Styela clava: one gene and its partner. The protein of the gene in region 1 purifies or fractionates together with the protein of each later gene. This does not show direct contact. Links are inferred from orthologs where the notes say so. Each region holds a gene or a part of one and is shown on either strand. Other genes may lie near its edges.

Region 1 (8,195 bases):
CAACGCAAAACGAGAGAAAAGATCGTTCCATGTATTTCCAGTTCAATGTCGCCACCGCACCTCTGTTTACTCTGCGTGGGTACGCAGGTTCGAATCCCATGCATGAATGGTTATGTGCGAGAGGATTGTTGGACTCCTCGCCGCTATGGCGTGGTTCACGTAACCTCTGGTCGGTTAGGCTTTCTCCACCATCAAGTCCATGCTTCCGAAAACAAATAACTAACTAATCCCATACCCGACATGTAATGATAACCGGACAAGAGACCGTGGTTTGCAATATAGTTGAGCCGTCTTATTGGTTTCCCTCCCCCCCCCCCCCCCCCCCGGATAAATATACTTTTATTGTATAAAAATACATACGCGAGTTGGCGATAAAGAACATATGTCATGCATGAATGCATTTAGAATTATTCGTTGTAGCGAAAATTGAGTGACGTCAAGATTTTATAATACTTACCAGAAATACCCACACATTAGAATTTTATTTTGAGTATTCCAATTATAAATTGTTCAATGCTGGATATTCATACATTATAATTTTCAAATCTTTTTTATATGTTATTAAATGAATATTTCGCAGTTTAAATCACGTATAAATTGAATATTATATTTTTTTGAATATGTTTACATTCAAATTCTGGCATGCAATAATTTAGTTTTGGGAAATATTCCAGTACAGCTTACCTGTATATGCTTGACGTTAAACATCCGTTTACTGCTGATTAGGGCGACTTCAGTTGTTATCGGAAACTCCTAAAAGGGCTACGACTCCTATGAAACGGCCCGTGATGGGAAAACAGCCAGTAGTGCCCCAGTTACCTGAAATTTCGGTGCGGGATTCCATACGATTAAAAAGTTCCAGGCCGTCAAGTTCAATGAGAACTCATGCTTATTCTAGATTTATGCAACGGACTGCAGGGGTTTCGTTGTATGATAAAGCTTTTGGCTTTGCAAATTCACCAAGCAAACGTTTTAGCAGGATCATGAAACAAAGAACATCAAAGCGTCGCAGTCTCGAAGTATTTCGCTGTTCGTCTCTAGATCAACGAGAACAGTATCGAAGATTGATTGAACAATATAGGTCTACGACAACAAAACCAGCTCCTTCATTGTTTAGTAACGATGACAAAATTAGAACACCTATGAAGCAAGCGAAAAGAAACCTCAACGTTAGTATAATTGATTTGACAAATAAAAATGAGACAAAACGTGACGAAAATGTTGATAAAAAAGCTCCGATGTTGCGGGAAAAATTAAAGGAACTCGATAACATTATAATTCAGCATCCGAAGCCTTTAATTCTAACAAATGGTGCCGAAAGTCAAACTGAAACCACTCTCAATGATAGTATAAAGAGAAGCCAGATTTTGAAAGAGTTTTCTTCCCCATATTTGTCACAAAATTTCGTTCCTGACATGTTAAAGACATACAATCGTCGAGTTCGTCAGAGGCAAGCTCAAACACGTGCTGAAGAAACACGAGCCCGACTTTGGCACGAGAAACGTGAAGAGAAAGATGCACTTCTGGCTGAAATTTTACACAACAAATTAAAACTCCAAGAAAAAAAGATTATCGAACAACCCACACTTCCTGAGCTGACTTCCGACATGAGCGAACACATAAACAAAGCACTAGTTCCATATCCTCCAAATCAAGTCCTTTCTGAGTGTTTCAACATTTCAATAACCCGCGAGCACATGTCGACTTTGTTCGGTCTAAATTGGCTTAATGATGAAATTATAAATTTTTATATGGAATTGATTGTCCAGCGCTCTAAAGATGTAAAAGATTACCCCGCAGTACATTCCATGAATACATTCTTTTATCCCCGATTGAGTACGCAATCTTATACATCAGTACGTCGGTGGACAAAAAAAGTTGATATATTTTCCAAAGACATCGTTCTGTATCCAATACATCTTGGCGTGCATTGGTGTCTAGCTGTCGTTGATTTCATATCGAAACAAATAAGATATTATGATTCAATGGGTGGAGCCAATCGGGAATGCCTTGAAATCCTAAAAAATTATCTTCTTTGTGAGCACAAGAATAAAAAAGGATCAGAGATCAATCTTTCTGACTGGCAACTGTTGTCAATGTCTGATATACCGCAACAAATGAATGGATCAGATTGTGGAGTCTTTGCTTGCAAATTTGCAGAGTATATTACTTCTAAATCAGACTTAACATTTTCCCAACGAGATATGCCTTACTTTCGGCGAGCCATGGTATGGGAAATTATCAACAAAAAACTTCTACGGTGATATTGAAGCTTTATGACATTGTACTAATATATTTATATCATTTTTGGATCTTGTTTACTTTGGTAACCTTTGTTAAATATTATTATCTGCTTCCCATCCATTATGACATCATTATTCTGGCTACCATGCTCCATTGATTCCTGCAAGGAGTTTGAATCGAACTTGAATCCCCAATTTTGTGTTATGTAGGCTGCAAAATCAATAATCTATGTTGAGGATTTTAAATTAATATTACTTGGGCCCTAGAAATATAAGTCCAGACTCTAGATCAGGGTGGTACAAGATTGGCAGCTTCGCGGGCCACAAAATTACTTTTGCATTGTTCGCGGGCCACAATAGTGCCAAGAACTTTAACTTCGCTAGTTGCCTCAGCAAGCCATAACACTAGTCAATTCAGTGACATTAGTGATGCAACAATGTCAAAAGAATTTTTGGTTAATTTTATGACGAACAACACGAAATGCGATTTTTTGATTTTTCTCCGAATGCGACGCGGGCCACAGGTAATGAAGTGGCGGGCCACATGTGGCCCCCGGGCCTGGGTTTGAACCACCCTGCTCTAGACACATTTAAATGATTATTGGTTGAATAATACGTTGTTTATTGTTGAAGCTACTTTTATGAATTCCAGATAATCTTTGACGAAATTTGATTAGAATTTGAATAATTAAAAATATTTGCTTAAAGTGCATGTATGTGAAATGTATTCTAAGATTTCAAATAATCAAAATAATTCATTTTACTGTTAAATTTTTAGACTTTTGTTGTATTAAAATCATGGTGATGGTGTTTTCAGAAAAAAAGAATCTTATTCCCATTGTAATTCTGGACTTTGTACACATTTTTTACTGCTCTGCCCCAGTGATGACAAAGTGCATATTGAATTCCTTGAACATGTTTGCTGTATTGATTAATGATTACAACAATTTGCTTAGTAGTTCTCGAACCCTTTATATAAAATAATTTATATCATTTCAAATTACATTTGTTTGTTGACAATTTTTTAGTATTTATATTTGATTTTCTAGCTCTCGTAAGTTCTTATTTTGTATCTGCTTCATGGTTTCATTATTGTACGTCATCAACATTTACAGTAAGTCATCTTGAAAGTCATTACAGCGTATCATTTTTGGATCTCCTGGATGTCTAAAAATAAAATGAATGGGGTATTCTAACTGATGCAGAATTAATTTTATGTTCTATATTTTAAAATATTGAATTTAGGCATAATTTAGAATCATTCATTTGAAAATCATAAAAATAGATAATCAAAACACTTTTCGTAACTCTTCCACGTTTGACCATGTTCCAACTCCTGATTTAGGATGTATACAAGTCCATGTTTTAAAAAATAAGTACCTGGCCTAATAATCCCATACTCCACATGCACTGGTATCCGATGGGAGACTGTGGTTCGCTATATGATTCGCTATGTGTTTGGCCAAATGATTAAGTAGTTTTCCCGTCTTTCTTTCTGGGATGAATATGTAAATCCTATTCTATATTTGACAACAATAATAATGTATTAGAAATGTATGTTACGCAGTTTTAGTCATCCATGTCTTATTGTGAAATGCTCAGTTTGAAATAAGTTTACCGTATTCCTCAGTATTCTCTGCAAGCTTACTTGTGTCTACTGTTGACTCTGCAATCAGCCAATCATAATTATGAAGCTATTATTAACAATTTAGTCCTGCCTGTCTACAACCTTTGAATGAATTCCACACTGCCTAAGTTGACAGAGTCCGTAATTTTTTATGACGTTATACTATTATTACTTTGCAATTTTATTCCAACTTCGTTGATGTCATTTGGTGTGGTGTTGGGAGTCTTTTTTTTGTACTTTCTTTGTATTTATTTCTCATAATGTTCACGAATATTAAGTTATTTCTTAGGATTGGGATATGTGAATCGCTTTTTTTTCATAAAATATTCATTTTTTACTTAAAAGTTAACTCATGATAGAGGAGAAATTTTAATGTGATTTTGGCTACAAAATCGAAACTGTTTACAATATTTGAAAGTTAATTTCAAAGCAAAAATTTTAATTGTAAATCTTTCAAATTAGCATAAAAATATTAAACTTTTAATTGGTATTTAGGTCCCTTTTGTACGATTTGACAATAAAATGCACAGAAGCATAATAAAGCAGCATCCACTCTCCCCATTTAAATGAGATTATTCTGAGTGATCACGTTTCATTGATTTTCCATTGTGAATTCTGTTTAAACTTTAACCTCATGCTTTCTAAGGTGTCCACAAAATCTTGAATTTTTTTTAAAAATGCAAAGGGAATTTATCCATACCAGATATTGTTTTGGACCTCACAGATGTATTAAATGAATTGAAATACTTAAACAAACCTCGTTAAGATATCTTGAGAACCGACTTCATAACAAAAGTGAAATCGTAAAGGGACTTTATGGACACCCTATAAGGCCTATATACTCACACAGAAGCTGTGATCTGCAGCATTTTTTCGTTTTGGGCAGTTTCAATTTCTCAAAAATATAATAATCTTTTATTGACGAATGGATGAGTTGCACCTCTGATTTGATACATTTTTGGTTTAAAAGCGTGACCTATTCACGAGTATATGCGGTATATTTTTCAGAAATATCAAAATTCTACTGATTACGGTAATTCTACCCCGTTACTGAGGTGCTGTACATCAAGTTTTAGCTTCAAAAATTCAAACTCGCTATGCCCACATGAGTCTAGCATCTTAACCAATAAGCCGTTGCACCTACTTATTTTTTCTTTGTGTTTGTCTATTCAAATTTTTTGTAATTTTTTTCCACACTCATTGAAATACCACCTATTTTGTTCAGTATTCTATTCATTAAAGTATTAAATATTAGTTACGTATGAGTCAGCATGAATGAGAATGATGATCTCGGCAGAATTACTGCTGCAGCAAGGGAAAGGTGAGTTACAAAACTATTAATTCTTCTATACAATGCTCATTACCACGCCTTTCACTCTGAATGAGATCCTATATATCAGTGCTCCGCAACCGGTGTGCCGCGGCGCATCGGTGTGCCGCGAGACGATGCCAGGTGTGCCGCACAAGAATTGCAACTTTTCCATTCTATTTACAAATTTCTTTTTATCCTTTGTTAATTTTACGTTAGAGTCTACTACTCTACTAACGTAAAGTTAACCTGCTTTTACGTTAGCTTGAGCGACACCAATTCAAATTCCTGACTTCCCCACTGTGTATTTGTGACGTAACAAGGAATAGGCCTATATATCAAGCAGATATATTGCAAAGCCTACTGTCAAGGATAAAACATAGCATGTGTAGTAATAGAATATAAATAAAACTTGAGCTTAACGAAAGAATTACCCCTGCGTATTCGAGAAAATTTGTTTGAAGTAAGAAATGACAGAACGCTAAAACTGAAATTCGGCGAAATTCCACTTGATGTATTTAGGATTTCAATAAAAGAAAAATATAAGCACATTCAAATGCAGCTATTGAAATATTGCTCCGGTTTTGCACAACTCATGTGTGCGAACAAAGCTTTTCCTCTTTATTACTGATCAAAAATGATAAACGATCCTGTATAAAAGATGTTGACGGCGAACTTCGAGTTGCTCTTTCACGTATTGTGCTCATTGAAACAACCACAAATCTCTCATTGAAATATAAACATAAAACGAAGTTACACTTTGTTTTTCCGTTTGTTGTGGTGTGCCGTCGAATTTGGCAAGATTTATAAGTGTGCCGCAAGTTAAAAAAGGTTGCGGAGCACTGCTATATATAGCAGTATGTAAAGAGCTATTATTTGAAAAACTGTGCAAAAACCATGAGAAACCACCAAACACTGTCAAAAAACACCAAGATTCTTGCAAAACCCACCAAAAATCCACGCCCAATACTGCTAATATTTAGCTACCATTATTCAAAACTTAAAGGATGGGAATATTACGGGGATGGGAATATTGGCGTTTCAACATTACAACTATTACATCGTTGTTGCATTCAACAACCAGCTTTGGTTTCCAGATGCTTTCCATCCCCAGTAAAATCTTGTGTTCTTTTCTCATTGTTGGACACGTAGTGGACATAACGATCGTTTCAATATTCTGTTGTTGTTGTTGTTGTTGTTGTTCTTTGACACGTTTTCAAAAAGTCGCTTTTCTCTTCGAATACTGGACCAATTGCTTTGAAATTTTCAGTGGTTAAAGATTAATTTTTTCGCTAGAAGGCTATTACTTTTATTTTTTTCAAAATTTTGCGTGAATTCTATGAAATTTGATATTTGCTGTATTATTTTTTATCCATGGGAACACGGATTTTAGTCAGTGTCATGACTGGCTGTACGTTTTGATTCTGCAAAATTCTTGCTACTGGAAATTCAGAACTTTTTTGAGGGTACCGATAGCGTCAAAGGTACCGGTAAGAACTGATTCGCTCTGGTCTAACGTGTCCATATATTTGTGCGTAGCTCTCTTGTTTTATATGCCATTGTTTTTATTGTACTGGCTGGGGAAAATAAACTTGCTATGTCTGTAGTTTATGCTTCCTTTTTTACAGTCTTGGAAAGCAATAAAGACACAAAACAAACATATAATTGAATTAGAAAATCGCAAAGACTTCCAATTTTGCAATCTGTGCCATGAAGGTGCGAGAGTTACCTGGCCTATCACAGATATTAGTTTACAAGTAACTATTCCATTGGTGTTGCGCTTGATAACTAACTTTGCTTTCCAGAGGCTCCCCTTCTTCAAAACTGTGTGTCTAAAAATAAACTTGTTGTGCATTTTTTTTTACAGTCTTGGGAAGCATGGACTCCTTTTGATGGTTGTGAAGATGATTCGTTGCATCGGACTTTTTGAATGTTATGATTTATTGAAAGTCGTCCACCTTGTGTATTTTTTATTTTTTGTTAAAGCTTGGTGAGTAATGTTAATACCAACCACATTTTTATAAGGATAGGATTTACATATTTATCCTGTGCTAGTGGAAAGCCGATAAGATGGCTTTTAATCATATGGCGAACAACAACCTTTCATCCGGTTTCCAGGGTATCGCGTGCAAAGATTGTATCAACTGGTGCATAGCCAGTAGGAATGCGACAAGCTTCGGATTCGTGGCCAAATCTCTCTTAATTTGATACTCGATTCGGCCCGAGCCTTTGATGATTTTACCCAAGTCTGTGACATCATACATCACGCGATAGTCAATCGCAGACTGCCCAAATACTCGGGATTCGTAGCATCCCAGGCATTTTGAAGGGAGGGATTAGATTGAATCAGCTAGCAGGTACGACCGAAGGTCAGAAAACATGGGTTTTCAAAAGTCTCGAGGGTCTATTTTTTTCTTATTTGAAAAAGGAGGGGGGAAACCCAATCCCCCCCTGCTACTCCCCTGTGTATCAATATAATACAGAAGTAGGCAGAGGTATTGAGTTTGGTTCGAGTCACCATTTATCACAGACTCGAACTCTACTTGACAGTAAGACTTAGCTCAACGATTCAACAACTCTACCTTGCTCAGTGTTTAGAAATTTGTAACCAACACTGGCTGCTTTTACAATAAAAAGTTTAGTCTTTATACTTTTCTTCCCAATATACACATTCATGCAATGCTCAATGAAACATATTCTGATCTATTAGGCCAGGGGTCACCAAACTTTTTTGACCACGAGCCGGATATGACTCAAACTGTGTTAAAACGGGCCGGACAAATATTTTTGTCAATGCAACGCAATAAATTCACAAAAGTTGGGAAATCGATTCAATTTATTCAACAATATATATGCTATATTTCTGAAGACTCGAATATTAAATTCTATCTATACCTGTATCGCAGAATATGATTCGAGAACATACTAAGAAAACAAGTATACAAGATTTCTATATCTAGACAACTATCCTGAGTTTAGCTGTTATCAAAACGTTGCAGTCGTGAATTAGGGATGT
Region 2 (7,172 bases), on another chromosome or scaffold:
ACAACCAGATACAGTTGCCAATGAAACTTAGCGAGGCGTAATATTGCGACTTTGTGATCTGAAAGAAAATTCTGATGGGTAGCCGCAACCTTTTGTTTAAACAATATTATGAGATATGACTTAAGAGTCTAATCTTTTATTTGAGAGGGGTGTAACCCAAGCTAATTTGCAAATGGTATTCATGGTACCAAATGTATCACACATTTTACAGTAATTATAAATTATATTTGAAAAATAAAGCACATCAAAAATGTATTTTTTAAAAACAATTGGTTTTATCTGCAGATACTAGGTTGATATTGAGATTGACCATTTCAATGCTAAATTTTATTTAGTCAAAACGCACACTTGATTCGCAAAAATTTGTGAATACGCACAGTACACCAATTTGTCTAATGTTTTGATTCCATAGGCAGGAGGTTGTGGATCGGTGCTGCTCAGGATGGGATATTTTGCCTCTAAATGCATATTACGTGTTTCACATGAATCCATCGTGCTCAGATTCGACTGTTTTCAAGGTCTGAAGGCTCCAACAGCCTTTTTTTATGGGTACACAAGAGAATTTTTAGTGTGGCATGCATGGGTTAGTTGGAGTCACTAACCTCAAGATATATATAAGCAAGGATAAGATAACCTGGAAGTAACATTCCATAATTCAGAGTAAATAATGTATCTGCCTCCACAGCCCTTTCAAATGGAAGATATGATGCCTCGGGGGTAATTTCTATCAAATATTTTACAGTATTATGGTTCTAGTGAAAAGGAGTGTAGGCGGCTTTTTTAAAGTGTGGTAGGTCTAGTCGAAAGACACATTAAATGTTTATGCTAACAACTGCAAATTAATATTGCAACGCATACAAGTTAACAGAATTTGTTGAAATGGTCCTGCCTTTTGCCTTTCTTCAAAATCCCCCTTTTTCTAACTATTCTCTTCCTCTCTGGGGATGGCGAAAATTCAAATATCGATGGGACATATAAGCAGCTGATAATGGGTTATCTTCCCTTTTTCCTGAAAATAAATTAAACACTAAGCATCATTTGACAGTGCCAAGTTTGTGTATCAGATCAGTAATAAATTACCTGCTAAATAACAAAACAATCAGAAAACACCTTCTGACCATTAATGAAGATTTCTTTCATTTTAAAACGCAACTATGCCTACCAATGTGAGTAGTTTTTAGGATAGAATTTATCTGTGGTTGGGGACAGATTGCAAGGTGCAACATTGTACGATTACCATTCTATGTCGGGATTAGTTAGCCAGTAATTTGTTTTAGAAGCTTGGACTTGATGGCGGGCCGCAGTGTTCCCTCTAAGGTGTGCGCGTGTGCGCGCGCACACAGCTTTCAGAGGCTGCGCACACGCATAGATTTACAGCGCACAGACGTATTTCGATGTAATGTAACAATGTTCTCGGTTGGCAGGTTGAGAAAGTTTGTTGTTGGCCCACTTATTACCCGGTTAGAACGCCAAAATTTCTTCATTGGTTTTGCACAAATATTAGTCATTTCCAAAAAAGTGCGCGCACACCAAAATTTCTGCGCACACATACTACAAAAAATTAGAGGGAACATTGTGGCGGGGGATGTCGTAATCGACCAGCGGTCGTGTGAACCACCCTCAATGGGAGGAGAGCTGCAATCCCCTCGCACATAACTATCCCCGCATGGGATTGGAACCTGTGAAACTCCAAGGGGGATCAGAGATGCGGTGGCGAGCGTATTCTTAGATGGGGAATTCAATTGAATTCTGGTTATTTTTTGCATTAGCACTGGCGTTAAACTTTAGTTATCTATTCAACTTTTCACACTTACTAATAGATTACCTGCTAACTAGGGAAACAATACCTAATAATATCTTACACGAGTCAAGTCTGCAAGTCGGCCTACGCCTAGGCCTACCAATAACAGTAGTTTGTCATCTGCTTTCCATTGAAATGAGGGAGCTTATGAATATTCAAAAAATTGATAACGGCACATTATGACTTACCATCAACGAAGTGCTGTCCGCAAACAGTGAAACACAAGTGAGATGGCTTCTGAACTTGACACCAAGCAGTCCTGCCAATAGATAGATATCCACATTGCGCGACGTTCCGGATCTTTTGAAAACAGTGGAATATAACTGAAGATCCATTTCGTTGTCTATACTCTAAGTACAGCCAGCGGAACAATACGAAATAACCATTTTCAACAGCCAAACAAAACGGAAACGTATAATCCGACTTGCAACTGACAGGAGCTTAGGTTTGCACGTAATTGACAAAAATCAATTCCGTAATTACGGCCAAATCGATTACGTAATGACCCCGTAATTGCGATATTTTTTTCACACTTTTAAACCTATCATAACAACCAATTTAATCCACTTCTATTCCGAATGGGACATCGACAGTTGGGACAGTTTGGTTTTCATATTTCCGCCAGTACTACACGCCAGCGACAGATGCTAAAGACAAATATCAAGGAGTGAATTCAAATTAATTTTATTCTGATTTTTGTCTTTTGTGTTAGCTTTGATTTTCCTTTATCAACTTTATCACCCAATTTTATGTGATCAATTTTATCATTACCAACACTGGTAAGTGGTAATATATTTATGAAACGATAGTTGACTTTTTTTAAATCATATTAACGTATTAATACGAGTTTCGTATTAACTAAAAATTCCGGGTTTCTAATTTATAAATCAACGACGAGCGTATTCTCTCGTTTGATTATACTTGCGCTTGCCTCGCGACGAAGACTTGTTATTGTACCGTTTTTTTACATTATCCGACTTTACTACCTAGTTAGCATTTTATAATAATTATTGATGCCGACTTATTTACGATATTCCGATTACCATGCTTCATTTTACATTAAATTATTTCGCGGCCTAAATGTTATAACATTATTTGCGATAAATTTATATCAAATATTAATTATTTGCGCATAATTTAAATACCGTACTTATATGACATGCCTTCTCCGAAAATACAAAGTTATATCGCAAAACAATGCATTTGGTGACATTTATTTTGCACTCACGAAAATATTAATTTACTTTTCTAACTCAAGTCGACACAAGTTTGGTCGAGTGCCGGTGGTATTTGAGTCGACGATAAATCAAAATAAGTTGCCGCATTTGGTAAAGACTTAAAGATATTGTAAAGACATATTTGGCCGAAATAGTGCGAGGCATTGTGAAAACAAGGCCAAGTCCGGACAGATATATAACGATAAAACCGGTAACAGAACATCAAGATTTTGTAATAGAAAATGGCTCTCGCGCAGTATAAACATGGGAAATCCCGTCTTTTTGTTGTTTCTCTGCCGTCTGAATCGCTTTACCGATGCCGAAAAGACTAAGTTGCGTTGGTTCATTACGCAATTTCTCTTCCGTCGTCATATTGCTGTTTGATAAGCGCGACATTAATTATCACGGCATTTACAAATAGACCATGTTTGGTAAGTTGTCTCTTACATTCTTTAGTCATTTCACCCGAAGAAGTTGAAACCAGGTGTGTTGGCGTCCATCGGTCTCGACACAATTCTATCCCATATCTACGCTTAATATGTACATTTGCCATGCTAGATAAGTTGATAATAGATTAGTAAATGGCAACACGTTATGCCTTCTCCATCTGCATAACAAGAGAGAGAAAAACGGCTGCGAATACCGGAACTCTAACTTCTTCTACTTTTTAAACTTTAATTTTTTACAATCGACGGAATTGACTGCTCTAAAGAGAGCTCGTTTCAATCGCGAAAGCGCTCCACCAATAATTACGCATTTACGTAATTCGTAACTTCGCTTCCGTAACTCGAAATAATTCCGTAATTCCGTAAATCCGTAAATTACGTGCAAGCCTAGAGAGGAGCTTTATGGACGTTTTTGTTTCATTGCCGTCCAGTAACAAAATCACGTGACCCGTGCAAGTCCTCTATATTTGGTTAGATTCAAATATTCAGTTGACTCCGTGCAGAGCTTTCATTTCCCTTGGCTTCATGGTCTGAATTTGAAACAGAAGCCACGGTATTCGAGTAAAGCTCCTTACTCTAGCCTGTCTGCCTGTAGCATCCTGCATTAGACCCGACCCGAGAAGAAGCAGAAGCGATTGGGGCACATTTCAAAGAAAATGCTCCCTGAACAAGCTAAATTTTTTTCACATGGACAAAAATCGGATGTTCGTAGTGTTCCAGAGATGCAACATGGAGATTATATTTCGCTCTTGCTTGATCCTGAGTCAGGTACGTACGGTACCGGTACTGGTACCTAATGTCTAAGTGTATGCTGGAATGTTTCTGTATTTAACTCATAATTAGGTTTTATAGTACGGTATTGTACGGTAGGCTATACCGAGACTGTATTCAGGTATTGTAAACCTGTAATTCATTATTTGTTCTATCAATCTCATAGACTAGGCCTACATCCAGACATCTGGGGTCTCGTGTAGTTTCGTACCTAACATACTTCTAGTGGGCGTAGCATAACAATATTTTGATATGTCAATCCTAACTCCCATCTGACTATGCCATCCGAAAATTATGTCACTACGACATCACAGTCACGTCATAGAGCTTGCCGAATATACGTACGATCGTCCGAAATGGCATCGGCGCTGACGATAAAGAATTGACTGACGTTATTGATCTCTTTCATATTGGAATCGTTGCGACGAGAAAGCGAGAAAAATAGCTGTTCGATTTCGGGTGCTCGTCTGCGCGTCTTTGATGGCAGTTGGTATAGTTTGAAGGGCTCCATTATGTCACTGTGACATCGTAGTGACGTAATTATTAGATGGTGTCGTCAGGTGGGGGTTAGGATTGACACATGAAAAAATTGTCATGCTACGCCCACTAGAAGTATGTTAGGTACGAAACTACACGAGACCCAACATCTGTACATTCAAAACATTTGCATGTTTCTTTGTTAATACTAAGCTATATGGTAGCTTATAAATAAGTAAATACAGAATTAGTGCGTACTAATAATAACGTACTACTGTACTAGCAATTTTACAGATTCATGACTTTGTGTAGTTATATCTGTATATACTGGTATATGTATGGTAATTACAGAATTAAGATTTCTTTGACTTTGCATCTGCTCTACATTATTAATCTCATTACGGAAGTATTGCGATATTGTATTAGGACTCACCATCATTCGATGAAGAAATGTTACTAAGCTACCTGAAATAATTTCATATTGACATAGCCATTAATTTTTCCTAATGAAATAATTGTGTCGAGTTGATGGGTCTAAATCATGTAATGAAATACAGAAATAGGAAGATTTCCTGGGTATTCAAAAATGATCATATTTGATTTGATTAAGTTTGCATTTTGACATGGTCCTAGTTTTTTACCTAACTCCTGTTTTTATTTTCAGATCTTGATTTAACTGGAAAGGGGACTCGCAAGCCTCTTATATCGGTGAGAAATTTTAATTGAATAATGTGTATATTCTATTTGTTACCATTTCATGATTCAAAACAGAACTATGGCAAATTCTAATACATGCTACATCCCGATTATGATATTCAAATATAGTTTTCATTCCCAGGGTACAATTCATCCATTTCATAAATCTCATTCAACTGTACTTGGACAATTTCAAGAAGAGTTTCGATTATTATTAACGAGAAGAAATGTTCGAGTTGCTGCGTTTTTTATTTTTATCAACTGCCTAGTTATCATGTGCTTAAGTATGTGGTCTTCATCAACCAATAGTCTAGGTAAGTATCTTCCCAGGTAATATTTATACTCCTAAAATAGAGTCCAGGGAGTTGTATGCGATACATCCATACATTGCATTTTTACCAAAACTTATAGTGGGAATTCCTTCAAAGGTACCACCATTGAAATAGCATATTTGCTTTTCTCATTTATTAACCTATAATACAAATAATTCCTAACAAATTCGTTACGAAAATATAACGCTTATAAACATGTATTCTTTCCTCTGATATCGTAGTTTGGAATTTAGTGTTATTTGTTACAAGGTTTGTAATTATTTTTTTCAGCTTTGCGCTCCTACAATTACATAACCATGTTTGAACTTCTTGGACTGGTCACTTACATATTATCATCATGGTCTTTATTGCAAAATCAGAGAACAAAATCTAACTCACATAATACATATACACTGGGATTTGAACGCATTGAGGTTCTTGGAGTATTTTCTTCTGTTGTCATTGCTCAATTGGGAGCTGTATTTATTTTCAAGGAAGCAATTGAAAGGTAATTATTAATTTATACCTACTTATGTTTGGCATATATATTTGTTGTTGCTGGCATTCTAGTATATTAGGTACCTATTTAGTCTATTTTAACAACAAAATTGAAATTTGACATATATTATATAATCCTCATTTTTCATACAGTTCAATTGGACTATTATCAAACATTTTCTTTGTCTGAAACTGAACTGTAATAGATATAGTTGATGTTATGTATTTAATGATAACTAAGTATTCAAAATTTTCAAACTCATGATCTGTATCTTTTTATTTTAGATTGATTGAACAGCCAGAGATTCATGCAGGGCGACTTTTACCTGGTGCTCTACTTGCATTTTTGTTTCATGTTACAGTAAATTACTGTCTTGTAAATCATGCGTTTACTAGCATTTGTGAAGGTAACTATATATATATATTGTTTATTTGTCGTAAATTTATAGAACCCCAGATTATCTTTTATCATTAATTTATCAGGATTATATGTTATATTTTTGCTGTTCTGAGTTTTGTAAGAAATTTTAAAATTCAATTGTAATTTTGACTATGAAAGCAAAGTGCTCCGCCTTTAAAATTGAAGCATTTTTTGATTTTCAAGGTTGCTTTGGTCTGTTATTATTGGTTTTCTGATTGATAAGCAGGCACATTTTAAATGAACGTTTTACATCTTTTTTGGCATAATTCATTTGATTTCAGATACTTTAGTTTGCCCTTCCGCCTTCTTTTTTTCTCCGGGATAAATATAAAAATTTTTTTTTTTTTATCTTTTGCTCATGATATACTGTTTTTTTCAAGTCGCATCATCATCATGGATGCAAGAACATGTCGCAGATATGAGCAAAGGGATATGTGGAATAATTCCAATGTTGGAATCTATCTTATTGCCAAGAGTGAATCCTTTCTTTTTGGTGTCCTTCAGCACAGGCTGTGGTGTGTTGCTTGTGGATTT

What was found.
Region 2: the proteins of proton-coupled zinc antiporter SLC30A5-like (region 1) and zinc transporter 6-like purify together in Homo sapiens (co-immunoprecipitation; 5 studies listed by BioGRID and IntAct, with this or other methods). This does not show direct contact. The link is inferred for Styela clava from reciprocal best matches to the Homo sapiens genes SLC30A5 and SLC30A6.

Annotation. Positions count from the first base shown.
Region 1 is NC_135256.1:4,828,479-4,836,673, forward strand, and holds the start of proton-coupled zinc antiporter SLC30A5-like, read left to right. Parts: upstream 1-5,085; 5' UTR 5,086-5,141; coding exon 5,142-5,191; intron 5,192-7,046; coding exon 7,047-7,169; intron 7,170-8,195. Other genes in the region: sentrin-specific protease 1-like, read left to right, coding at 774-2,264. UniProt on the Homo sapiens protein: Together with SLC30A6 forms a functional proton-coupled zinc ion antiporter mediating zinc entry into the lumen of organelles along the secretory pathway.
Region 2 is NC_135253.1:6,834,808-6,841,979, forward strand, and holds the start of zinc transporter 6-like, read left to right. Parts: upstream 1-3,887; 5' UTR 3,888-4,120; coding exon 4,121-4,232; intron 4,233-5,376; coding exon 5,377-5,420; intron 5,421-5,550; coding exon 5,551-5,722; intron 5,723-6,010; coding exon 6,011-6,227; intron 6,228-6,502; coding exon 6,503-6,624; intron 6,625-7,018; coding exon 7,019-7,172. UniProt on the Homo sapiens protein: Has probably no intrinsic transporter activity but together with SLC30A5 forms a functional zinc ion:proton antiporter heterodimer, mediating zinc entry into the lumen of organelles along the secretory pathway.